Saccharomyces cerevisiae S288C: one gene and its partners. The protein of the gene in region 2 interacts with the protein of the main gene of each other region in a biochemical or structural test. Each region holds a gene or a part of one and is shown on either strand. Other genes may lie near its edges. The genes, in order: YOL107W, FRK1, PLP2 and YAP3.

Region 1 (6,306 bases), on a different chromosome or scaffold from region 2:
ACTAACGAACTCGTGTTCTGGACCGCTGGCGGATGTGCTCATGATTAATTTTGTATAAAGTTATTATTCTTCGCTAGTTTATCTCTGTATCGGTCTGTTCTAACCCTTTTCTCCAACTATGTTCTCCTGTGCATGTTTTCTTCTTTTCGTTTTTCCTTTGTTTTTTTTGGTCGTAGTTGTCGCAAGCTCGGCCTCCGGCCTGATTTTAAAACTATTCCTAATTCAAGATTCGGTAAAAAAGATATATAATAGCTAAGGGGAGGAGAGGAATAAGAGGAAAAAGTTACATTAGAGGACAATACTCAATCTAACCCTTACTAGATGTGCGATAGCCATCAAAAGGAAGAAGATAACGCAAATACGAGCGAAAGGGCGTTATTTTTTAATTACCATGAGTTTTCGTATTCATTCTACGAAGACCTCGGTTCCGAAGACGCTAAACCCACAGAGCACGACGAAGACCACAAATTGTGTATTACACATTTCCCGAATGTGTATGCTGCTCGGGGCTCTGCCGAGTTCCAGGTGACCCGGGTGGTACGAGTGCCCCGGCGGTTCGATGAGTCTCGCAGCAGCCTTGAAACGCCACAATTTAGTACACAGCTTCCCGGTAGCGAGCCGGCGGCAATCGTGGGCGACGATGGCACTAGCTTTGTGCGGTGCGGGCGTTACGACATTGGGGATCACGTGTTTGGCTGCTCCTCCGTCTCGCCTCTGTCAGAATATCTTAGTGCGGCAGAGCTCGCGGAGGTTGTGCACCGGGTAAACGGATTCTTGCTGCGTGAAGAAGGTGAGGTGTTCGGGTGGCGTAACTTAAGTGGCCTGTTGCTCGATATGCTTACGGGCGGTCTGTGGAGCTGGGTTTTGGGGCCCCTTCTTTCTAGACCTGTGTTTCAGGAGTCTCTCGCGTTAGAGCAGTACGTGGCGCAGCTAAACTCGCCGGGAGGTCTGCTTCACGAGCGCGGTGTGCGCCTAGTATTGCCCCGACGGTCCGGGTGCCTATCCCTAGATTTCGTCGTGCCCCGACCCAAATAGTTAAACGTGTGGTTTATGGGTGCACCAGGGCTTTATCGTGTTTTATATCGATGGCGATTTGTGCCTCCAGTGTATTTTTGTATATCCAATTAAGGTTTCTTACCTAATTTTATTTTTATCATCTTTAGTTAATGCTGGTTTGCTCTGTTTCTGCTGCTTTCTGTGCGGTTCTCCTCTTCTCTTGTTTCTTCGTGTTGTCCCCCATCGCCGATGGGCTTATATGGCGTATATATATAGAGCGAGTTTTTACGTCGAAGATCATCTCAGTTTGCTTGATAGCCTTTCTACTTTATTACTTTCGTTTTTAACCTCATTATACTTTAGTTTTCTTTGATCGGTTTTTTTCTCTGTATACTTAAAAGTTCAAATCAAAGAAACATACAAAACTACGTTTATATCAATTAATAATGTCTGAAATTCAAAACAAAGCTGAAACTGCCGCCCAAGATGTCCAACAAAAGTTGGAAGAAACCAAAGAATCTTTGCAAAACAAGGGCCAAGAAGTAAAGGAACAAGCTGAAGCTTCTATCGACAACCTAAAAAATGAAGCTACTCCAGAAGCTGAACAGGTGAAGAAGGAAGAACAAAACATTGCTGATGGTGTCGAACAAAAGAAGACCGAAGCTGCCAACAAAGTTGAAGAAACTAAGAAGCAAGCTTCCGCCGCCGTCAGTGAGAAGAAGGAAACCAAGAAGGAAGGCGGTTTCTTGAAGAAATTGAACCGTAAAATTGCTTCCATTTTCAACTAATCACACTTGAATGTGCTGCACTTTACTAGAAGTTTCTTTTTCTTTTTTTAAAAATAAAAAAAGAGGAGAAAAATGCTGTTTATTCTGACCTTTTACATAAATTTTTCTTAATTGTATCTATCTAATAACTAATCAATATAATAATAATAATACTAATAATAATAATAATAATAATAATAATAGTAGTAGTAGTAGTAGTAGTAATAATGATGATGATGATGATGATGGATGATCAAAAGCCACAAAAAAGAATGCTCCGAGAATAACCTCGGCGGTTATTTCACGTCCCGGAGGAAAAAAAGTTTGATAAGAAAGTAAAAATATGAGCGGTACGAGAATCGAACCCGTGTCCCCACCTTGGAAGGGTGGGATGATAACCACTACACTAACCGCCCGGGTTAATTGTTATTAGTTGGTGAAACTGATCTCAATCACTATAACATTATGGTCTCTTAATAGCAAAGGCCAACCAACTGACTTCTTGCAAACTGATGTTCAATTTTAGCTCTAAAATAAAACAATGTAAAAGAAAGATAAAATGACATAAAGCACTATCGCTTCAACGGCAAACAATATTGAAAAAGTATCACATTATAGTAAGTTGAACACTAAAAGATTAAATAAATACTTCGGCACACTTTCGATGAAGGAAAGCATTAGTAGTAACGTATATATATCATTGTTGTTGCTACTTTTCTTTGTGGGATATGCACCACTCCCCTCTGCAAAGTGAAGAAAAGGTATGGGAAGAATTTCTTCGCTTATATTACTTACTTTACCCTACTCCTTGAATCACTGACCACTCTGTCCATCACCCAGCTCCCAAATTAACTCCTTCGGTACTAAATCCCGAATGTTTCCATTTTGTTCTTGTACGGGATCGCTGCTGCTGCTGCTGCCGGTTTTTGCCTCATGCTTAGCTATGATTTGTTTTCTCAGCTTTTCATTCCTTTCATACAACCAACTTAAGTAACTCAAGCTTTTCAGGTATATGATTAGTTCTGACCGACTTTCCTGGGGTTGCAGGTCAGGTACTACTGCTACCAGTTCGTCAAATATAGCTCTTTCCAATTCTCTCCTTTTTTTTTCAGACGAAACATGATTTATACGTATTTGACCATCAGTCAATTTATTAATCTTCTTAGACCTGCGTTTCCTTTTCTTCACATTAGCCAGTTCACCCTTTATCTCCTTAATCTCGGACAATCCCGGCTGTATTGTTTGTATCTCCTTAATATCGTTCGTCATTATTGCTTTTCTCTTTTTAGTTCAAGCCGCCCTCTTAACTCCTTCGTCAAGCTTATCTTGTTGGCATTGGAATTTCGCAAACGCAATCGCGCCTCTGTCTTTAAGGTGAGAAAAACATGTGAATATTTTGTTTGATACGTAACAAGCTCATACAAACCAAGCCAAGAAAAAGAAGACGACTAATCTATTTATAACAAAGATATTTGTTCACTATAATGCAATATAGTTCGAGGTTCCTAGAATTGAATATCCCGGATTCATTTTTAAATATCAATAAGATTCCTGATGCTACTAAATTTATTACAGTCACTTATATATGCTTAACTGCAACCCTTTTCTGTATAAGGAGATCCTTGTACAACAAGCTAGTTCTTGAAGACCCTAACTTGGACTACAACTTGATTACTTCGCCGCTTTTGCAAATGGTACCTTCGCAGATTTGGAGGTACCCCACCTCATTAGTTCTATCCAACTTCATCGACACTAAAGCTTGGAAGGTGGTAGTGAACTTATTGAATTTGATCATTGGTGGATCCTTCATTGAACGCAATTGGAACTCTTCCAAAGAAATGTTCAAATTTATCATAGTTTTAGGTTCTCTTACAAACGTTCTGATCATCATGCTGACTTTGTTAGTATCTTTTTTCTCTAATAAGGTAAGGCTGGATATTCCCTTAGACGGGAACTACACAATTTTAATCGGTTTCCCTATCATTTATAGACAGTTATTGCCTGAAACAACTATAATCCATCTGAAGACACCTCAATTTTTGGCCAAAAACTTTAGGTTCAAATTACTACCCATTTTTGTAATGTTTACAATGACGGTAACCCAAATAATATGGTTTCATCATTTTGCTCAATTGTTCTCCATTTGGGTTACCTTTTTTGCCAGTTGGTCGTACTTGAGGTTTTTCCAGAAACTTGCACCCTTGAATTGTCCCTCTTTGCCAACAACTAATTCTCAAGGTGGTCAGGAAATATTGGTCGGCGATGCATCTGATACTTTTCAATTGATTTACTTCTTTCCTGATCTAATTAAGCCGATTTTGAGGCCGATTTTCAATTTCATTTATAATGTAGTTGTTGTAAAATTTAAAGTCATTAAACCTTTTCATGATATTGATATAGATATTGGGAACACCATCGCAGAAAGTAGAGGCGCCAAAAAAATTATGACTGTAGAAGAAAGACGAAGACAGTTAGCTTTACAAGTTTTGGAAGAGCGTATGGTAAACCCTTGATATATGGATCTATATAACTTGAAATATGCTCTATTATATCGTGATTTAATGACGGCTGTTGGCATTTCGGTCTTTACCAAGGTAGTAGGATTTGTATGCTGAATGTGCGCCAGTACTATCGAACCATAGAAACCCATATATTCCCCAATATTAATAATTCTACTGAGAAATGGGTGAATTTTGAAATAATTGTTGGGATTCCATCGTTGATAAAGGCTATAATATTAGGTATACAGAATGTACTAGAAGTTCTCCTCGATGATATAGGAATCCCCATAATGGAATCTATATTTCTATGTACCAATATTACGATTATTCCTCATTCCATTTCATATGTTTCATTATCCTATTACATTATCGATCCTTGCATTTCAGCTTCCTCTAACTTCGGTGACAGCTTCTATAATAACTTATGTCACTATCTAACACCGTATATGATAATATATTGATAGTATGACTACTAGTTGATAGACGATAGTTGGTTTTTATTCCAACATCTACATAGTGGCACTCACTACGCTGCTAAATTTGATCATTTGGTGAATAATTTGATAATTAGTAGTTCTTCTCCGGGATATAGGAATCAACAAAAGGAAAACGATAGTTTTACATAATAATATTAATTTATCTTGCTTGGTTCGCCTTTGAAGAGCGCAGCTTTCAGAGATTTAGCTTCTATGGCCAAGTTGGTAAGGCGCCACACTAGTAATGTGGAGATCATCGGTTCAAATCCGATTGGAAGCATTTTTTTTTAATATTTTAAAATTGTTTATATTTTTGTACCACAAACATCATTAGAAGCTGCAAATGAAGTGAATCAGAAAATTTAAAAATGAAACTAAATACTAAATATTATTGTTCTTTTTCTAACAGTTGAAGTGCCAAAAGCAGTAAATTGTTTAAATATTAGGGTATAAAACATGATATTATAAAGTTAATGATTTAGAATGGCTCCGTCCAGCAGAACCAGTTGATTACCATTAATGTTGAGAGTTTATGCGAGTTTTTCAGGCTCGATTATGAGATACGGTACTAGATAATTCAGGATTATCAGGATTATCAGGGTTTACCACTTGCAATGGTCCGCTCATCATCATGTCGGGTAAAGAATTGGCACTGAACCTTTCATTTGCACTATTCAAAGTATTTGCCTCTTCAAAAACTGTCGATGGAAGGTTCTGTTTCTGAACCGTAGCATCTTGTAAGCCAGCCAAGTTGTTTATGATGCTTCCACTGGTGTTTGAACTAGGACTACTATAATTTGCACCATTACTCATAGAAAAACCATACATATTACTTGTACCGATAGAACCCGCTGTATTACCCCTTGAATGTCTCATCCAATTTGTCGTACCAGAGGAGGGAGGCGGTCCTATTGGATTTGCATCCTCATCACCGAACGAATAGGGCTGATAATGTTTCGTTTCCTCCAAGTCTAATTGGTCGTGCGATTTCCGTCTCCTCCATATCAGGAACAATAGAATCAAAATAATAAAAATTACGCCAAACACAACACCAATAACAATACCGGCAATGGCTCCACCACTCAGACGCTGCTTCGAAGTCGAATTAGATCTATTATTTGAGGCGGCAGCAGTAGCAGTAGCTACCTCAGAAGATCGTTCAACCACGGATGTCCTCGTAACAAATATTGTTTCCTGATGTTGATCAGAAGTACTCACGATCGCTTTTGTAACCACACTAGTCACTAGTTCCACTGAGGTAACTATTGGTATCGTTGATGACGTACTAGGGGTCATTGAGGTCACTTTTGGAGTTGATAGTGTGCTGCTACTCGAGGACACTGGCACCAAGGTGGAAGAGGGTGAAGAAGTACGGCTATCGACTGTGGTATGCTCAGATGAGGACAATGTAATGGATGAGGAGCTAGACGTAACAGAAAAGATAGAGGTAGTAGAGGAGGTAGTAGAGGAGGTAGTAGAAGAGGTAGTAGAAGAGGTGGTAGAAGAGGTGGTAGAAGAGGTGGTAGAAGAGGTGGTAGAAGAGGTAGTAGAGGAAGTCGAGGAAGA
Region 2 (7,563 bases):
TACACAGGATAATGGCTTCAATGTTCAGACCACCAGAATCCAATAGGAGTCACCAAAAGACTCCAAAATTAACGCTTCCAGTAAATTTAGTTCAAAATGCGAAATCCACTAATGATGGGCAACATCTCAACCGGTCACCGTACTCGTCAGTGAACGAAAGCCCATACTCCAACAATAGCACTTCAGCTACTTCCACTACGTCATCCATGGCTTCAAATTCCACTTTGTTGTACAATAGATCATCTACTACAACTATTAAAAATAGACCGGTACCACCTCCATTACCTCCCCTAGTACTAACGCAAAAAAAAGACGGTATAGAATATAGAGTTGCCGGCGATAGTCAGCTTTCTGAAAGATTTTCTAATTTGCATGTTGATATAACTTACAAGGAACTACTATCTAGTGCTCCAATTTCCACTAAGTTATCCAACATAGATACCACTTTTATCAAGAAAGATCTCGACACACCAGAAGGCGAGGATTCATACCCCTCGACACTTCTTTCTGCGTACGACTTCAGCAGTAGCGGGAGCAACTCCGCCCCTTTAAGTGCAAATAACATAATTTCTTGTTCCAACTTAATACAAGGAAAAGACGTAGACCAGTTAGAGGAAGAAGCATGGAGGTTTGGGCATCTCAAGGATGAGATTACTACACTAGGAATTCTAGGAGAAGGCGCGGGTGGTTCTGTAGCCAAGTGCCGATTAAAAAATGGAAAAAAGGTTTTTGCGTTGAAGACAATCAACACTATGAATACTGACCCAGAATATCAAAAGCAAATATTCAGAGAGCTACAATTTAATAAGAGTTTTAAGTCCGATTATATTGTGCAGTACTATGGTATGTTTACCGACGAACAGAGTTCTTCAATATACATTGCCATGGAATATATGGGAGGAAAATCACTGGAGGCAACGTATAAAAATTTGTTGAAACGTGGCGGTAGAATAAGTGAGAGGGTGATAGGAAAGATAGCAGAATCTGTCTTAAGAGGTTTATCATACTTACACGAAAGGAAAGTCATCCACAGGGACATTAAACCCCAAAACATTCTTCTTAATGAAAAAGGGGAAATCAAATTATGCGATTTCGGTGTCAGTGGGGAGGCTGTTAACTCTTTAGCGATGACATTTACTGGAACGTCATTTTATATGGCCCCAGAACGAATACAAGGCCAACCATACAGCGTAACCTGTGATGTATGGTCCTTAGGATTAACTCTTCTGGAGGTTGCTGGAGGGAGATTTCCATTTGAATCTGACAAAATAACGCAAAACGTGGCTCCTATAGAATTATTGACGATGATCCTGACGTTTTCTCCCCAGTTGAAAGATGAGCCAGAACTAGACATATCCTGGAGCAAGACATTTAGATCTTTTATCGACTATTGTTTAAAAAAAGATGCCAGAGAGAGGCCTTCTCCCAGGCAAATGTTAAAGCATCCCTGGATTGTAGGGCAAATGAAAAAAAAAGTCAACATGGAACGGTTTGTAAAGAAATGCTGGGAAAAGGAAAAGGATGGGATATAAACTTCCAACATTTTCCTCTCGTAACCAGAACTGACTTTTTCTACAACAGGAATTCTTTAACGAGACTTCTCCTCCTTCACCATTCATAAGTTTAACGATGTTCTTTTATTATCTAGACACTCCGAAATATTCTTAACATATACGTATATAGTTTACTGAAAACCGAACTAGCCATGGGCTATGAAAGTTCTCCTATTTCCTTACTTACATCAAATAGAAATGCGCATCCAAGTCTTTCTGGCAGGCACGCTATGATGTGCTAAATTATGACTCAAGTGAGTACTAGGCGCTTTTGTACTCAGCCGCGCGGGGAAAATTTCTTCCCTCCCTACCAAAGAGGAAAAAATCATATGGCGTCATATTATCCTATATACAACGGTCGAACAAAAATCTGCTCGACTCAGAAAAATAAAAGGGTTTTAACATACTTATTGCTTACTTAAGTTACCACTTCAGTAACTGGAGCTATAAATACAATAAGCGTTTTGTACGTAGAAAATATCCTCTATATTGCCTGATTTTCTTTAGTTCCGACAAGGGCTCCGACCACGGGACAACCCTTATGATTTCTGTTATAAGGCCTATTTGTTCTAGTTACGACGACACTTACTGCTGTCTCTTGACCGTTTTTGCTATACTCATCCTCTTACCATTAAAAAAATAAAGAAAATGGACTCGAGTAAAGATGAAACCATATCTCTTTAATCACAACATACTCACTCTATGGGAGATTCTATTCTCCTTAGGTTAGTAAATGGCATTATAAATTAGCAAGCGTAGCCTCTTCAGCCTATACATCAGCTGAACCTGCACAATTAATGTCATGTGGCCGACGTAATGCATATCCATCTTTTTTACTCCCTTAAAAGAAGGTTTAGCCCCTACTGTATACTCAATGAACAGATAATGTCTATCCATAAAGTATATCATTTCAGGAACCCTAAATAATAGTGCTATCGTTACATATACTTTTAAATTTCATATTGCATTAAAATGCCGCACACCTTTTATGTAAACAAAGCCGCACTTCCTAAAAAAGCAATTGAAAACAATCGAAAGAATGAGTGTAGAACAGCAAAAAAGGTAAACAAGAGAAAAATTCTGAAACCCAGATCAACACCTGTTTCAACCCCTTCATCGATTTAAATATAATTCAAGTTCAGGTCATCGAGTAAATCTATAATAAATCAGATCACAAAATCTGGTACACTGCTGTTGCTGATCACGGTTCTTTTCATCTTTAACACATTTTCGCAGTTTTTTGACTGTGCCACATTTTGCATTAATTTGTTTCTTGTGACGTGTTTGCGAGAATTTTTTGATTGCTAATTAAACCTAACAATAATCGCTATTTTTTTTACCCATCCACAATACAAGAAAGGCGAGCCAAGCGGCGTTCAATATTCAATTGGCCATTACTTCTATATACTGATTTAGAGTGCCAAAAATTTAATGTCGTACACCAATAAACGTCATACATACTACGGAGGGTTTACCAACGATTTGTCTGACACATTTCAGTACCCTCAAAGAACAGATGAGCAAAGGCGGAAACATGTAACGTTTGGTCCTTATATCCTAGGGTCGACGTTAGGAGAAGGAGAGTTCGGAAAAGTGAAGCTAGGCTGGCCAAAGAATTTTTCAAACAGCTCTAATTCAACTTTTGACTTCCCAAAACAAGTAGCAATTAAACTTATCAAACGTGATAGCATATCGAATGATTACAGGAAAGAAGTTAAAATATACAGAGAAATCAACGCCTTAAAACACTTATCACATCCGAATATCGTAAAATTAGAAGAAGTGTTGCAAAATTCTAGGTACATTGGTATTGTCCTAGAGTACGCATGCGGGGGAGAATTCTATAAATATATTCAAAAAAAAAGGAGGCTTAAGGAAATGAATGCATGCAGGTTATTTTCTCAGCTAATAAGTGGAGTACATTACATACATTCTAAGGGACTTGTTCACAGAGATCTCAAATTGGAAAATCTATTACTAGACAAGAATGAGAACCTAGTTATTACAGATTTTGGGTTTGTCAATGAGTTTTGCTCACGAAACGAATTAATGAAGACGTCATGTGGCTCTCCATGCTACGCAGCGCCTGAACTAGTGATAAGCGCCGAACCATACGAAGCTAGAAAAGCAGATATATGGTCATGTGGAGTTATACTTTACGCTATACTAGCTGGATATTTACCGTGGGATGATGATCCAAATAATCCTGAAGGCAGCGATATAGGAAGACTTTATAATTATATTAACTCCACACCATTAAAGTTCCCTGATTATATTCTTCCTATACCTCGGGACTTATTAAGACGCATGCTGGTCTCAGACCCAAAGAAAAGAATAAACCTGAAACAGATCAAGAAACATGAATGGCTAAAGCCTCATTCTTCATTCTTATCCATAACACCTGATGAGTGGGACAAACTAAACAATACTCAATCCGTGTTCAGATTAGCAAAACCAAGAAGAAGATATGGATCTAGACCACAATCCAGTTGTTCTACCTCATCTCTTGGCTCAAGGAGTGATAAAAGGGATTCACTGGTCATTGATTCAACTTTAATTACTTTCCCGGCTCCGCCTCAAGAATCACAAAATCATATTATAACCAGACCGGCTTCTATTGCATCTGACCAGCGGCTGTCACCTATAAGAAGATCTAATAGGCACAATAGAAGTAACTCTGCTGCATCCGTTGCCTTGCAGGCAGTGGTGAACGCAGATAGGGAATATGTGTTAAGTCATGAACAATCATTATCCCCAGTACAAAACATTAGACAAACTACGGGAAACATGACTGCCAGTCTTTCACCTCCACCAGCCATAAGTCCAGGCGATATTATAATCGAAACCACACCTATTAAAAGAAATACAATTTCTGGGAGTAGTATTGTACCAAGTTTAGAAGAAGAGTCGTCTACCACAATGCAAACAAGCAAGATTCAACCAAATAACATGGCTTCATCACAAAATCATCAATACAATAAAAATAAGACCCAAAATAGTCTCCAATCTGCTAAAAATTTCTACCGTACGTCTTCCTCATCCCATACAAAGCCACGGCCAACTTCATACCATCCTGGCTCATACACAACACCTCCCTACAATTCAAATACGCTCTCCATATATGAGATCAACGAAAAAGCTAAAAGTAGCGCTTCATCACAAACGCTGAATCAAAGAGACACATCCCCATTTGATTCCACACCATACCTTGCCCTAGATACATGCATAACCTCATCCTCTTCCATCGAAAGCTCTCCAAAGTTAATTACGCACGGCCAATTTTCAGTAGCAAAACCCTCTGTTGATTTGCAAAGCGTATCTGGTGACTTGATCAAGTATAAGAGGGACGCTGATGTAGTAACGAGAATCTATGATGAAAAATACAAACAGAAGCGCAAAAGTTTGAGATATAGCGGCATATTCAGTGACATCTCATGCGATACGGTCACCGAAGAGTCTGATGAATTGAGGCCACCAGAATCTCCTCTTCAACAACATGAAGGACAAGAATCAATTGATAAGGCGAAAACGGAGGACACAAGTGAAAAGGGTAGTAAAAGTAGCAACATCGCGAAAGCTACAGCACAAAAACACGTCAATAACCATCTAGAAAGATCACTTAACGAAGCAGAGTCAACAAAGAAAAGATTTAGCTTTCTTTCCTTGTACTCTTATGATACTTCCAAATCTAGTTTATACTCATCAATGGATTCCAAACGGAAACCTTCTCCACCTTCCCAAAGACGCCCAAAAAAGGATGACAGTTATCAAACAAATTCAAAGAATCATTATATCACTGCTTCAAATATGCAAACATCCCATCAAGTCTCAAAAGACCTGCCTGCACCAACGATGGTGCAAAATAAATGTACTTTAGAAACTAAAAAAGCGGTCCGAAGCAACAGGTCCTCCATAATGGTATCTGAGGTCAACAAGGCAAGCGTAGACAATAAAGCAGCCCAAAGTCCAGAACATTCAACCGCAAAAAGAGTATTAGGGTTTTTCAAAAGAAGAAGTATGAAAATCTAGAGATAATACCTATCTCATTTGACAATAATATCCACTTATCATATGAAAAAATCAGTACTATCTGCAATTTTTCCATTTAAAATGTCTGTCGCTAAAATTTTGCGATTTGCCAGACCAACAAAATAATGTTATAATATACTTTATGAAATTTCAATCTAATAAACATTGAGCATATATATGCATATACCTACCATATATATTTTGCATTACTAAAAACATCAAAAATTTTTCTAAATTGTTACTTATTATCAATCATAGCTTCACTCCGCTTGAATCACGTCTTCTAAGCGGGAACATTGTTTCACTGCGCTTACAGCGAGATTCGCAGACATTTTAAGTAAGAAGACAATTTCTTTTGCCTTTTGTACGGAATTAATTTTAAAAATTATACTATATATATATTAGTCTTTTCTATTCTCAAAATATAATAATATTAATAGTAATAAAAGAGAAAATAACGATGTTTAATAGAGTACTTATACAATCAACAAATTTAGATGTTGGATGGGTACAAGAAGATTCTAACAGAAGCACCGAAGGTCTTGGCTGGCAAATTGTTTCTGAAGGTGGCTCTAACGACACCAGAGTTACCGTGAGTTCTGGTAACCTTACCCCACATAACTCTAATCTTAGAACCCCTGACTTCCTTGGAGGCTCTGTAGACGTAGGCAATACGCTTACCCAAGTAAAATTGAGCATCTTGTGGAGTAGCGACACCTTCGATCTTGATCAAAGAGACATTTGGGTTGTTGACTCTCTTGGATCTTTGGTAGGATAAGTGCTTACCTTTGACGTACACTAAAAAAAAAAAAGGAATAAAATCCCAAAACAAAATGTTAGTATTTAATGATCATCTTAGATGGTGGTTATTATTGAGCTAGCAAATTCTGTATTATCGAAGAGTTATGCGACTTCATCATCAAGCTTAGGCTTCTCCATTGTCGAAGAATGCCATAATTTAGAGCTTTTAACAGTCAAATTGGATATCGATGGTAAATGTGATCTCGTAAATTTCGATACTGCAAATTATTTTATAAGTTACCCAGAAACGATAGTAGACTCTTTTATTATAAAGATAAAACTTAGATATAGTTCTGGTATACTTGATTTGTTCTACTTGGACCCTTTAGCTGTCTGGTGTTAAATCTGAGTTTTGCATTCATCTTACACTTTCTATATTCTTGCACATTTTAGTCACCACGTATATGATCTGGTAGCTTTTCTGAAGTCGCTTTTTCCTTTATTATCAACGTTTCACTTGAAAATTCCAAATTACTAGCACAAAATATTTTTAATGTCTTCTCGTCATCAGTTTTAACATACATCTATGGGATTCAGCCATTTTTCAATTTATTTGATTGTTGGTTTCTTACGGATTCTTACAATTGCTCAAGGCAAAATAACTCAAGTTTTGAACTAGTGATTAATACACGTAAATTAAAGCTTGATAGCGAATATTTTGCCAAACGGGAGGCAAAGGTATCATGCCGGTGAAGAGTAGAAGGGAGGGACAGGATACGAGTTTAGGCCGGAAAAGATGAATCAGCTCTGTCTAACGACTGTACTGCTAGAGGGAAGCTGAGTATGACCTCCGTACGTTCCATTGAGCGGAGAATTCTTCGACGGGCACCCAAGGTGTGTACGCGAAACAAACTGAGAGAAGAAAAAAAAAAGTAATCAAAGGAAGTGTAAGGGTGTAAAGAGGTAAGGATGTTAATATTGCCGTGGAAAAAATTGCAACGAGAGGTGGGTAACTACTACGATATGTATTTCGAGCATTTTTCTTAGGGCTGAATTTTTCATTAGTTTTTCCATTCTCGATGAGGTGAATGAGTAAAGTTAAAGAAACATATAAATAGTGAGCTCTTTCCAAACAACTTGATAACTTCACTCATTCATCCTTTTCTTAGTTTTATTCTCTTCTTGTTCTTTTTACTAAAAAAATTGTCGACGTACTTCAGTATGTTTTATACCATATACT
Region 3 (5,917 bases), on a different chromosome or scaffold from region 2:
CATCCCTTTCAGTTATATCTGAAGCAATGTCAATATTTTCCACTTCTGATATTGGAATTGGAAATGGCAATTCACTTCCATTTATTTCAGAAATAGTAACATCATCATTGTTTGCATTCGCTTCACTAATTGAGGGTAAAGATGCTGGTAGACTATTTTCTCTTTGAATAGCTCGAGATCTCGTACGTCTTCTTCGACTGGCAGCACCAGTAGTTGTAGGAGTGTTCTCACCTGAATATTCTGTATCGCTGATATCAGCTGATGAGTTTGATCTAGTAGAAGAGGAGGAGGAGGATGTGTTGCGAGGGATTGGTTCGCCGACTTCTTGTGTAGAGTTCCTCTTGATTTTCTTGTAGTATATTCCATATTCTTTATTTCTTAAACTGTCAATATCCACATGGCCACTTGCAGATATTCCTTTTTTGAACGTTTTTATCAGGAAATAATCCTGATACGATTCAAACTCCAAGGGTTTAATGGATTTATTAAAGTCTTTTATTTCATTTATTAACCTCCTCTTATCATTGATTAAACTTTGCAAATCACTATTTTTTATGATTTCCGTATTTGTACTCATTCGCACTTTCTTATAACACCTTCCTGTTGTTCTAATTAAATTCTTTTAATTAAAATTAATAGTTATTTTATATGCAATGTCTTATGATCACTTCTAGCTGTCAGTGTTCCTAGGATAGTGTTCAACAGCGTTTAATATTAATATATTGAGATACTTCCGCCAGATAAAAGAAATCCTTACGTTAAATATATATCATTCGTGTGCCGCGAAAATTCTTTCTTTAGCAACAGATATAAATCAGGTATAGAAAATCAAACGTCAAAGAAGGCGGCAGAAAAGTCACACTATTCCTTTTTCTCGTCGATATTTTCAATAGTTTTATAAAAATTGTATGTAGCTCATATAAATATCAATTATCGAATTACAATTTACCCAAGGAATCGATCATATCTAACAAATCATCTTCCAATTGAGGTTTGTCAAATTGTTTCCGATCTACTTCAGGTTGGGCATTATGCTCTTGACCCTCTTTGCTAGTAATTCCTTGGATCCAATTGCAAACTTGGGATACGAATGGTTTCGAGTTTGGGACAAAATGGGCTCCAGGATGAACCAACAATGTCCTTTTGTTATCGGGCCATGACTCGTACAATGCCATGATTCTAGATTCTGCTACAACTTCATCTAACTCCCCCCTTACATGTAGAGAGGGCACCTGGATAATCCTATGATATTCTTTCTGGTAGGATTGATCTTCTAATTTGAATCCACTAAATGAAATAAAAAATTTTAAAGCGGGCTGTTGTTCATCAGTAAGATTTAATATTCTGTTAAAGTCAGTGACTAAGTAGCCCCCAAGACCTGCACCTTGGCTGAATCCAATGACACCATCAAATGGTCCATTTTCTAGCACGTAGTTACGTAAATAGTTAAACACCTTTTGATCTATTTGAAAGGAATTGAAAGATTCGGGATTTCTAAAGAACCACCCGTATACTTCATCACTAGTCGCTGAGGTGTTGAATTCCTTCGCAGCATCTCTACCCTTTTCTGACTCTGATTGGAATAACGCTTTTTTATCAATTGAATGTGGGGCGCAAGGATAGTATAAATCGTAACCTAACTTCTTCAAATTCTTTCGTAATCCTCCAGTCTTCGCAGAAAATATCTTATCGGATTGGACAAAACCATGTAGCATTAGAACTTTCTTCTTTTCACTCATAATAATAATTCTGGGGTTTGTGGTAGAATTCAGTTTGAAAATGCACCGAAGTAGAACAGATTACTTTCTGTATTACTGCATCCATAGTGTTCTTTATACGCACAACTAGAAAAAGTAAATTTCTATCCTCTGACAACAAAGCGAAAAAGTAGTAAAACTTGATACCAGACCATGCTCCATATGACGATTTAAAAGGTTTATTCTGTCAAGATGTGCCTGCTCGAACTTAATAAGGGGTTTTATTGTATCTGTATCCTAAGTATGCTTGACGGTAATTAAAGAGCTTTAATTGGTTGCCATGACAACGGCTCTTACTAAAATCCATGCTGCAGCGATGTTCAATCATACATACCGTAATCCTCGCGTAAACATTCAGAGAAGTACATGACAAAGTTTGCTGTTCTTTATATCTGTATATATTAAATAATGGGGATAGTGACACCACTTAGCCTGTAAATAAGGAATATTCGCACTATTTAGTCAAAAAATCCATCATCATCATCATTAATGTTGCCATCATCATTTCCACCTATGCCGACATTAAATTTTCCTCTAATACCTGACCTGATCGATTTTTTTTCACCGTAATGCAATTTTCTCTCTTCCCTGGATTCTTCATCGTCTCGGTTCATTATCAGTCTGTTGTCTCCTTCTGCAACAGCGCCAACTTTTACCATAAAATCTTCAAAGTCTTCCATCTTGGAATTATTACCACCCAGTTCTAGTAGCGTTATCATGTTTTTGATTACCTCACCCCGGTAATATACAATTAATGTCGGGCAATTGGATTCGGGATAGTTTTCAATTGCTCTATTGGCAGGTATTTCTACAAATTTTATTTCTCTGAATTTGCATGCAGCAGATTGGAAAAGATGAGACAGAATTCTGCTTTGTAGTTTACTTTGAAGCGAGAGATGAACGAATACGTAGACACCACCGTCATCCTCTTCACCATTGTCATTGGTTTGTGCACCTTCATATTTCTTTCCCTGACTGGCCAAAGTAACCTCTTTGTTGTATTCAGGTTTGTTAATGTGGAAAACTTCTCCAAATTTGGAACGTTCCTGTAATTTGCGGATTTCATTTAATCTTTTGATCTTGTAAGCTTCCAAGAAATCTTCATCTTCATCGTCTTCTAGTTCTTCCAAATCCGACAAGTCTTTATCTTCTAGTCTATTTTCATGCTGCTTGGCAATTGCTTCTTCTAATGCTTCTTCTAACTTTGCAGTGGGCGAAGGTGCACGTTCTGGTATTACACCCTTCGCTCTTAAAATATCGTTCCATTCACTGTCTTCAGATTCGTCCACCTGGACCTGAAACATTGGTTCATTCTGCATTATGTCTGCTGAATATGCCTTTCTTCTCAGTGATGTTTACTCGAAGGCGTTATCTTGTACTGCAGATTTCTTCAGGTCGATCATATAACCTTTTCTTTTTTTCCTCTAGCGGGATTTCCTCTTTTTTCAGTAATTTTTTTTCCAGCGATATTAATACAATGGGAAAATCAGGTCGTCACAATATTACTTAATTCTTTTTTGAATTGTAGAACATAAAGTATTGCTTTATTCATTCTGGTTCGAATTAGTCTCATACTGTAAGATCAAAGCGGCAACGAAGCTCGAAGCTATACAAGCACCCAAAAATATATTTATACCCAAGAATGACTAAGGAAGTACCATATTATTGCGATAATGACGATAACAACATCATCAGATTATTCATTATTAGGCATGGACAAACAGAACACAATGTAAAAAAAATTTTGCAAGGTCACAAAGATACCTCGATCAATCCTACGGGAGAAGAACAAGCCACTAAATTGGGGCATTACTTGCGTTCAAGAGGTATTCATTTTGATAAGGTTGTCAGTAGTGATTTAAAAAGGTGTAGGCAAACTACGGCTTTAGTTTTGAAACATTCAAAACAAGAAAATGTGCCTACTTCCTATACTTCGGGGTTAAGGGAGCGTTATATGGGTGTTATTGAAGGTATGCAGATTACTGAGGCTGAAAAGTATGCTGATAAACATGGTGAAGGCTCCTTTAGAAATTTTGGGGAAAAAAGTGACGATTTTGTTGCTAGGTTAACTGGATGTGTCGAAGAAGAAGTTGCTGAAGCATCTAATGAAGGTGTCAAGAATCTAGCCCTAGTTAGTCATGGAGGTGCTATCAGAATGATTTTACAATGGTTAAAGTATGAAAATCATCAAGCTCATAAGATCATTGTTTTCAACACCTCTGTCACTATAGTTGATTACGTCAAGGACTCCAAGCAGTTTATTGTGAGACGTGTCGGAAACACCCAACATCTTGGTGATGGCGAATTTGTCGTCAGTGACTTAAGATTACGTTAGACACTATATGGTTATTCACTGTTGGGTTTTTCTCATTTTGTATTAGAAATGCGGTTTAGGTAGTAATAGAAATTTCGCATGCGTGTATTTTATTTTAAAACATATAGTTCGTAAGGGTTTATCTAAATGCAGTAGATGTTCATAAATTATAGGGGTTTTATGTTTTTATATTATTGATATAGTTTTTCACATGAGATGAGAACGACGCGTTTATTTTAAAGGAAAGAAAACTGTGTCGTAATATGTAACAAGACTACATTGATACTCCATAGCAGAGAAATGGATATGTTCTGTCGGTGGTAAATTCAGGTGAATTGTATATCAGTGAAACTATGCAACAAACAAAATTTGGCAAGATGTATTTGGACCACGATTCGGTAGTTGAGTACTCAGAAGATGAAATTGTCGAAGCCGATCGTATTACATTGGGCTATAAAAAGAGATTGTCAATGATTGAAAATCAAATGCGACATCTTTTGGAGGATTTTAGTTTGGACGTTCAGCAGATTGAACCCATTCTTGCCGACTTGCAGAAGTACTACGACGCGTTTCTACAACTTTTACAGAAAAGGAACAAATCATTACAATGTAAGAGGTCCACTCACCAGCCGGTCCCATCCCCAATGAATAGCCAGACATCAACAAATGCAAAGGTTAATTTGAGCGGAAAGCTTATGAAGTTTCAGCTAAATAGTGTACAAAAGTTCGACGAAGAAAATATACTAAGGATTCTGCAAAATAAAATAGAATTCGAACATTATTTCCAAATTGATAAAGGTAAGAAGCAAAAGGTGCTATTACTTGCCGTATATCAATGCCTCAATGGGCCAACACGTTTGCATAAAGTGCTTAATATTGAGGGAATTATACATAATAATAGTATCAGAACTATACTGGGCAAACAAGTGTCCAGTTCTAAGTGGACAGTGTTTCTGTACGATGTAAAACTAGTTTTATTGGCGCATAGACAAGATGTTCCGAACTTAGAAACTAGCAAGATGATCGTCAGATATGGTGATTTATTTCCCTGTGCATTGTACTTCAAAGATCATACAGCATACTAAGCGCTTTCCAGGGACACCTTCTGTCGCAAAATATCAGAATTTTTCTTGATTAAACGCAGCATATTGAGTATATGAAATTAACGGGACACTGTGTGAAAAATTTGTAGTTGTACTTTTTTGTTATCCCCTTTGGTAGACATATGGACGAATTACTACTAAGATTGGCTTCCATAAGGCCCAAATCCAGATATCACCTACGGTATGTCCTTTTCCTACTTGCAATGACAAATAATTTGTTATTTATCTTGGAACCTATATAAGTTACATCTGATTGCTTTTGTATTTTTTTTGGAGAATATTATTACCCGCGGGGAAGGAAGTAAGGGGAGAATTTTTGAGGTGTATAAAAGAGAGTGGAGGCTTAATCAATCAAAGAATTCTTTCTCGTTTATTTTCAGGGTTTGTGACTAAGAAACGATATTAAAATGTGGAAGGCCGTGATGAATGCTTGGAATGGAACCGAGAGTCAAAGTAAGAATGTTTCAAATATTCAATCTTACAGTTTTGAAGACATGAAAAGAATCGTTGGAAAGCATGATCCTAATGTGGTTTTGGTAGATGTTAGAGAACCATCTGAGTACTCGATTGTTCATATTCCTGCTTCCATCAATGTGCCATATAGATCGCACCCTGACGCATTTGCCTTAGATCCTTTAGAATTTGAGAAACAGATTGGCATCCCAAAACCTGACAGTGCCAAGGAGCTAATATTTTATTGTGCTTCTGGCAAACGCGGGGGAGAAGCTCAAAAAGTCGCCTCC
Region 4 (5,993 bases), on a different chromosome or scaffold from region 2:
TAGGAGATGGGTATTTTGCGTTTGAGTCTATTTGAGATAACTCTTCCTCTGTGAACAAATCTTCCAGGCGAGTAATTGGTTTATTATCATCTTCGTAGTTTTCCAAAGCTTCACATAAGTTTGTGACCGTTTCGATTTGATCTTCTTCATTATCATTATGTGAACTGAATTGATGACTCTTGTAAATATTCTGAGTATTTCTTACTCTACCGTCCATCGTATAGTTGGGAATTGTATAATTATCAGATGTGACAATTTTATTTTTGGATGGTATAAAGAATTTGTATCCATAACTATTTGGATCTTTGCATAGAATTATAGAAGGAAGTCCAGATGGTTTCAATTTTTTGTGATTATGATTCCAAATTATTCCTTTTTCGCCAAATGGTAAGAATGACATTAATCTCACTGTAACAGGTTGACGTGAGATTGCCTTCAATGGTAGTTTACCTGTACTTTTGTGTTCCAGGCAATTTCTTATATTGGTAGCAGAAGTTACTGCGTATTCCCAAAATTTTACTCTTAAGTTACTTTGTCTTAGGAGTGTTGTTGCATCAGTTACTATTGTTCTGATGTATCTTTCTGCTCTTCCATTAGCAGCATGATCTTGTGTAGAAGTAAGTATGTGATGTATTCCTTTTGAAATAAAATATTCTTCTATCTGATCATTTGTGAATTCAGTACCTCTGTCTGAATTAATTTCTCTGACTTTCCTGTCAAATTGTGTTTCCACGTACTGAATATTCTTTCTGATTTGAGCTAAAATAGTTTCAGCATTCTTATTGAAGTGTGTGGAGGTCATGCAATATCTCGTGTTGTTATCCACCATAATAAGCATGTACCTTTTAGTGTCCGCGTTTGAACTTGATACAGGGCCAAATATATCCATGCACCATGATGATCCTGGTTCATGATCAGTACTATGATTATTCATAGACCCGGTATAATGATTTCTTTTCGTGGCTTTAGAGATTTTACAGGTTTGACACCAAAATTCATTTGGTTCTTTGATTAAGTCAAGGGATTCTTCATAATGATTATGTTTTATGGAATTTTCAATTTGTTGAATTCCTGTATGGCCCATTCTTTTATGAGCATCTTCCAAGGTAATAGACCTTTTATTTAGTTTAAATCCAGGAGAAGAAGTAGGTTTTATTGCATTTATTTTTGAATCATCGGAAGGACGTTCAATTAACTCGTTCATTTTTACGTGAATGACACCATTAACTATCTTGGTTTTAATTTTTATGATTTTGTTTCCCAATCTGGTATATTTTCGACTTAAAACCATTTTGGTTTTCTTGGCTAAGTCATAACAGCTGATTATAGTGGATTCTTCTTCCGGTACATAGTAAGTCAATAAACACTTATTGTCAGTATTGTTGTGACCATTCTTGATTTTTATATAGCCATACCCTTTAACAGACACTGAACTGTTTTTCCCAATACCAAAAAATCGTGTACTGCGATTACTGTCTTCGTAATTATGCAGTAAGGTTTTGTCATTGGTAATGTTTACGCCGGAACCGGTATCAATAATTACCAGTTTTTTGCTGTTGTACACTTTGTTTGACTTTTTTTGTGTCTTGTTCCAAGACTTTTGTTCGTTTTGCACTGGACTTAAGTTGTTGTTGTCTCTGTGCACCTTGTAGATAATAGGTTTTTGAGAAATTGGTCGAGTCAGGCCTAAGTTCCCTATTTGGTTTCTTTTTGCAGTTAATTGAGCAATGGAAAACAGATTTGCAATACATGCAGCTATTTTCTATTTGATCGTCTGCAATTGGGCTCAAATCAATTACTGTTTCAATAACAGTATTGATTAGAAATTCTTCGTGATTAATTCCTACGTTATGTGGAATGTTGTACAAACGTTGTTTCACAGAATTTCTTAAGGATTCATGTAAGGTTCCCATGATAGCTTCTTGTAGGTAATCCTTTAGATTAGGACAATCTTGGCAGCATTTAGAAAAAATCCATTTTTCCATTAGTACCAACTTTTGAAGTTTATTCATTAACAATGCGGAATTTCTACATGTTGTATCAACCAAAACCTTTTCCCAGGCTCTAATTCTGACATCTCTACCATGTAAACTTCTATATTTGTTTTTTAAACCATCGATTATCCTAAAAATGTCAGTTGTATTTGTGTTCATGATATCTAAACTTTCACCGAGTCCTTCTTTGATTATCTTGCACAAGATTTCATTTTCACGAGGATCGATTTCTATGATATCATTTTCAAAGACATCATCAAATTGATATTTCTTGATGAATTTTTTAAAATTGTTTAAGAGAATAGGAATGTTCTCGACATTATTAGTCCTATAATCAAAAACACAATCCTTAGGGTAGAATCTTTTGTTGGTTGAAGTTAACGTATCGAATAAATAGTAAGTCCCTGTAGCATCTATATGTTCATGTAATATATTATTGTTCTCGTTTGTTTCCAATAATTGTATCTTTTCAACTAGATCCACAATCCTATTCTCAACCTTGTCAATGGTTTCTCCGAGTTTTAATAATTTTTCAGCTAGCATCTGAATATCATCAGTCTCAGAAAGTTTTTCCTCTTCTGCCTTTAAACCATTTAGTATGGTTTTAAACCTATTTAAGTTTCTTTGATATTGTTTCACCTGTTCATCTTTAATAGAAACTTTTCTTAATGATGATGGCGTCTGTCTGACAGTATCATTTGTTTTGACTTTCGATTGAATCCGCGCAGAAATGTTGTCGTCAATAACATTTCTTGTTTCATCCCTCACTGGGGTCGCCATGTTGATAATTAGAGGTAAAAAATTAGTATTAATGAAGAAGTGAGTACTGATCTTCTTATACTAAATAAGAGAGGTATATAAAACACACGCCGATTGGTCATATTAATTATGACCAATATAATAGTGATTCCGGTAGTTACTATACATTGATGTGACGACTCATATTCCTCATATATGTACCTACCATAACATGTTCAACTAATAGGTCTTTAACACCGCTTCAGTATTGTCTGAGCTTCTCGTTTAACATTCCTTCTGCAATAGGCGCAATCACACTTAAACGTATACGAGTTGTACATTAATATACGATGTAAGCATTAGATTGTTACCATAGCAACTCATGTCACTATCAATTACTCTCGTTCCAACAGTATGATTCATATTTTATATAATATATATAAGATAAGTAACATTCCGTGAATTAATCTGATAAACTGTTTTGACAACTGGTTACTTCCCTAAGACTGTTTGTATTAGGATTGTCAAGACACTCCGGTATTACTCGAGCCCGTAATACAACATAATCAATAAGAATTTGGTTTCGTGGTCTAGTCGGTTATGGCATCTGCTTAACACGCAGAACGTCCCCAGTTCGATCCTGGGCGAAATCAATTTTTTTTGAATTTTTTTTTTTTCTTTAGAAAAATGTATAGTGGATTTTCGTAGCTTTATGTTAAGAGTACAGCAACGGCATTATTATTCAATAAGCATTATAAAACAGATCGATTTGAATATTACCGGAGGCCCTCTGAGCTTTCTTATTTGTTTATCATTTCGATAAAAGGGGCAGTAGGTGTTTGCTTTACTTCCAGTATAAACTAACGAAGAATAAGGCTGAAGCAATTGTTATGACGCCTTCTAATATGGATGATAATACCAGCGGATTCATGAAATTTATTAACCCTCAATGCCAAGAGGAGGATTGTTGTATCAGAAATAGTCTATTCCAAGAAGATAGCAAATGTATAAAACAACAACCAGACCTATTGAGCGAGCAAACAGCACCCTTCCCAATTTTGGAAGACCAGTGTCCTGCTTTGAACCTTGACAGATCAAATAATGATTTGCTATTACAGAACAACATATCTTTCCCTAAGGGTAGTGATCTTCAAGCAATTCAACTAACCCCTATTTCAGGCGACTACTCTACCTATGTTATGGCAGATAACAATAATAATGATAATGATAGTTATAGTAATACAAATTATTTTTCTAAAAATAATGGTATATCTCCAAGTTCGAGGAGTCCCTCAGTTGCTCATAATGAGAATGTTCCAGATGACTCTAAGGCAAAGAAAAAGGCTCAAAACAGAGCCGCCCAAAAAGCCTTCAGAGAGAGAAAAGAAGCCAGAATGAAAGAATTACAAGATAAATTGTTAGAAAGTGAAAGGAACCGCCAAAGTTTATTGAAAGAAATTGAGGAACTAAGAAAGGCAAATACTGAAATCAACGCAGAGAACAGACTGCTACTGCGGAGTGGTAATGAAAATTTTTCAAAGGACATAGAAGATGATACCAACTACAAATATTCTTTCCCAACGAAAGATGAATTTTTTACCTCTATGGTCCTGGAAAGCAAACTGAATCACAAAGGCAAGTATTCGCTAAAGGATAATGAAATTATGAAGCGAAATACCCAGTATACTGACGAAGCAGGAAGACATGTACTAACAGTCCCCGCCACCTGGGAGTATCTTTACAAACTTTCAGAAGAGAGGGACTTTGATGTGACATACGTTATGAGCAAATTGCAAGGACAAGAATGTTGTCATACCCATGGACCTGCGTATCCAAGAAGTTTAATCGATTTTCTAGTGGAGGAAGCTACTTTGAATGAATGAATAGACTTTGACAAAAATAACTTACAAACACTAAATAAGAAAGGGCAGGCAACATCTTCATGAGGCAAACCAGGTTCTTTTTTTATTGACTTCGAAGTATACATTTTCATCGCATAATTGACACACAATACGCCCTTTACCATTCCAACCTACTACACCTTTTACTTATATAAGTGTATAAACTATGTTCTTACGCGGTGTTTTTAGGGGACGGCCTGTTATAAAATGGAAAATATAAAAATGAAATTTCACCCGCGGATTAAGTAAAAGTTCAAAGGAAAACACATAGAGGCAATAACGGAATAGTAGCATTGAATGTATTACTTTCTGGTTGGCCCTCACATCTATGGATCAATTTGAGTATATCATTACTTTAGAATTTGGAAACCAAAATCAGGTTGAATCCGCTTATCAAATTTTCAAGAGTATTCCGAAAAAGTTGAAGGCAAAAAGTATCGGGGAAGAAAGTATTAAAAGTAATAATCAAGACTGGCAGGATTGGAGAGTCTGTGACTTGGAAATAGACATGATAACTGATTTCAAAAATCAAACATCAAAAGAAGAGGAAAGTGATTTGATTACTTCACAATACTTAGGCCATGGGATAATAAGGCTATTCAAGCTAAGCAATGCCAATAATACTCTTAATGAGAAGGAGATTTTGACTATCCCGGGAGATGATACTATGATATGTATCCTGTTTGTTCCAACTTATTTTACCGTTCACGATTTATTGCATTTTTATATTGGTGATGATATTGTTAATAAGCAAGTTTCAAACTTTCGTATATTACGAAATCAGCAGAAGGGAATGGGTTTTAATTTCACGGTCTTAATTAAATTCAGGAATGCACTTGATGCGAAAAATTTCAAGGAAGAGTTCAATGGCAAAAGTTTCAGCAGGATGGATCCCGAAACATGCCATGTGATCTCTGTAAAAGAAATAGTTTTTCAAAAAAAGCTCTTCCAAAGACCAGCCGCTAACGAGGACTTCCCCTATCTGCTTACTGATCCATTCACTGTTAAGAAAAAAAAGGAACTGGTAAAAGTCGAACTCCCCACATGTCCCGTTTGCCTTGAAAGAATGGATTCAGAAACTACTGGATTAGTAACGATCCCGTGCCAGCACACTTTTCATTGCCAATGCTTAAATAAGTGGAAGAATTCAAGGTGTCCAGTGTGTCGACATTCAAGTCTGCGGCTAAGCAGGGAATCATTATTGAAACAGGCAGGTGATTCCGCACATTGTGCAACATGTGGTTCCACTGATAATCTATGGATTTGCTTGATCTGCGGTAATGTTGGATGCGGTCGTTACAATTCCAAACACGCAATCAAGCATTATGAAGAAACTTTACATTGTTTTGCGATGGATATA

Evidence for each region.
Region 1: of the proteins of FRK1 (region 2) and YOL107W, one has a biochemical effect on the other in vitro, tested with the Saccharomyces cerevisiae proteins (one large-scale study listed by BioGRID).
Region 3: of the proteins of FRK1 (region 2) and PLP2, one has a biochemical effect on the other in vitro, tested with the Saccharomyces cerevisiae proteins (one large-scale study listed by BioGRID).
Region 4: of the proteins of FRK1 (region 2) and YAP3, one has a biochemical effect on the other in vitro, tested with the Saccharomyces cerevisiae proteins (one large-scale study listed by BioGRID).

Annotation. Positions count from the first base shown.
Region 1 is NC_001147.6:108,855-115,160, forward strand, and holds YOL107W (uncharacterized protein), read left to right. Parts: upstream 1-3,247; coding exon 3,248-4,276; downstream 4,277-6,306. Other genes in the region: MDY2 (Mdy2p), read right to left, coding at 1-42; SHR5 (Shr5p), read left to right, coding at 322-1,035; ZEO1 (Zeo1p), read left to right, coding at 1,443-1,784; INO4 (Ino4p), read right to left, coding at 2,577-3,032; WSC3 (Wsc3p), read right to left, coding at 5,284-6,306. UniProt on the Saccharomyces cerevisiae protein: May play a role in retrograde transport of proteins from the Golgi to the endoplasmic reticulum.
Region 2 is NC_001148.4:281,483-289,045, reverse strand, and holds FRK1 (protein kinase FRK1), read left to right. Parts: upstream 1-2,984; coding exon 2,985-5,582; downstream 5,583-7,563. Other genes in the region: putative mitogen-activated protein kinase kinase MKK2, read left to right, coding at 12-1,532; 60S ribosomal protein eL33 RPL33A, read right to left, coding at 6,076-6,380, 6,906-6,924. UniProt on the Saccharomyces cerevisiae protein: Putative serine/threonine-protein kinase that may be involved in rRNA transcription and ribosome biogenesis.
Region 3 is NC_001147.6:844,054-849,970, forward strand, and holds PLP2 (Plp2p), read right to left. Parts: upstream 3,077-5,917; coding exon 2,216-3,076; downstream 1-2,215. Other genes in the region: RFM1 (Rfm1p), read right to left, coding at 1-577; FSH3 (putative serine hydrolase), read right to left, coding at 939-1,739; YOR283W (phosphoglycerate mutase), read left to right, coding at 3,400-4,092; HUA2 (Hua2p), read left to right, coding at 4,425-5,156; thiosulfate sulfurtransferase RDL1, read left to right, coding at 5,582-5,917. UniProt on the Saccharomyces cerevisiae protein: Essential for cell growth. Inhibits early G-protein signaling events following pheromone stimulation. Inhibits the folding activity of the chaperonin-containing T-complex (CCT) CCT2 which leads to inhibition of cytoskeletal actin folding.
Region 4 is NC_001140.6:82,690-88,682, reverse strand, and holds YAP3 (Yap3p), read left to right. Parts: upstream 1-3,622; coding exon 3,623-4,615; downstream 4,616-5,993. Other genes in the region: YHL009W-A (gag protein), read right to left, coding at 1,533-2,774; ETP1 (Etp1p), read left to right, coding at 4,962-5,993. UniProt on the Saccharomyces cerevisiae protein: Transcription activator involved in the regulation of genes expressed in response to environmental changes.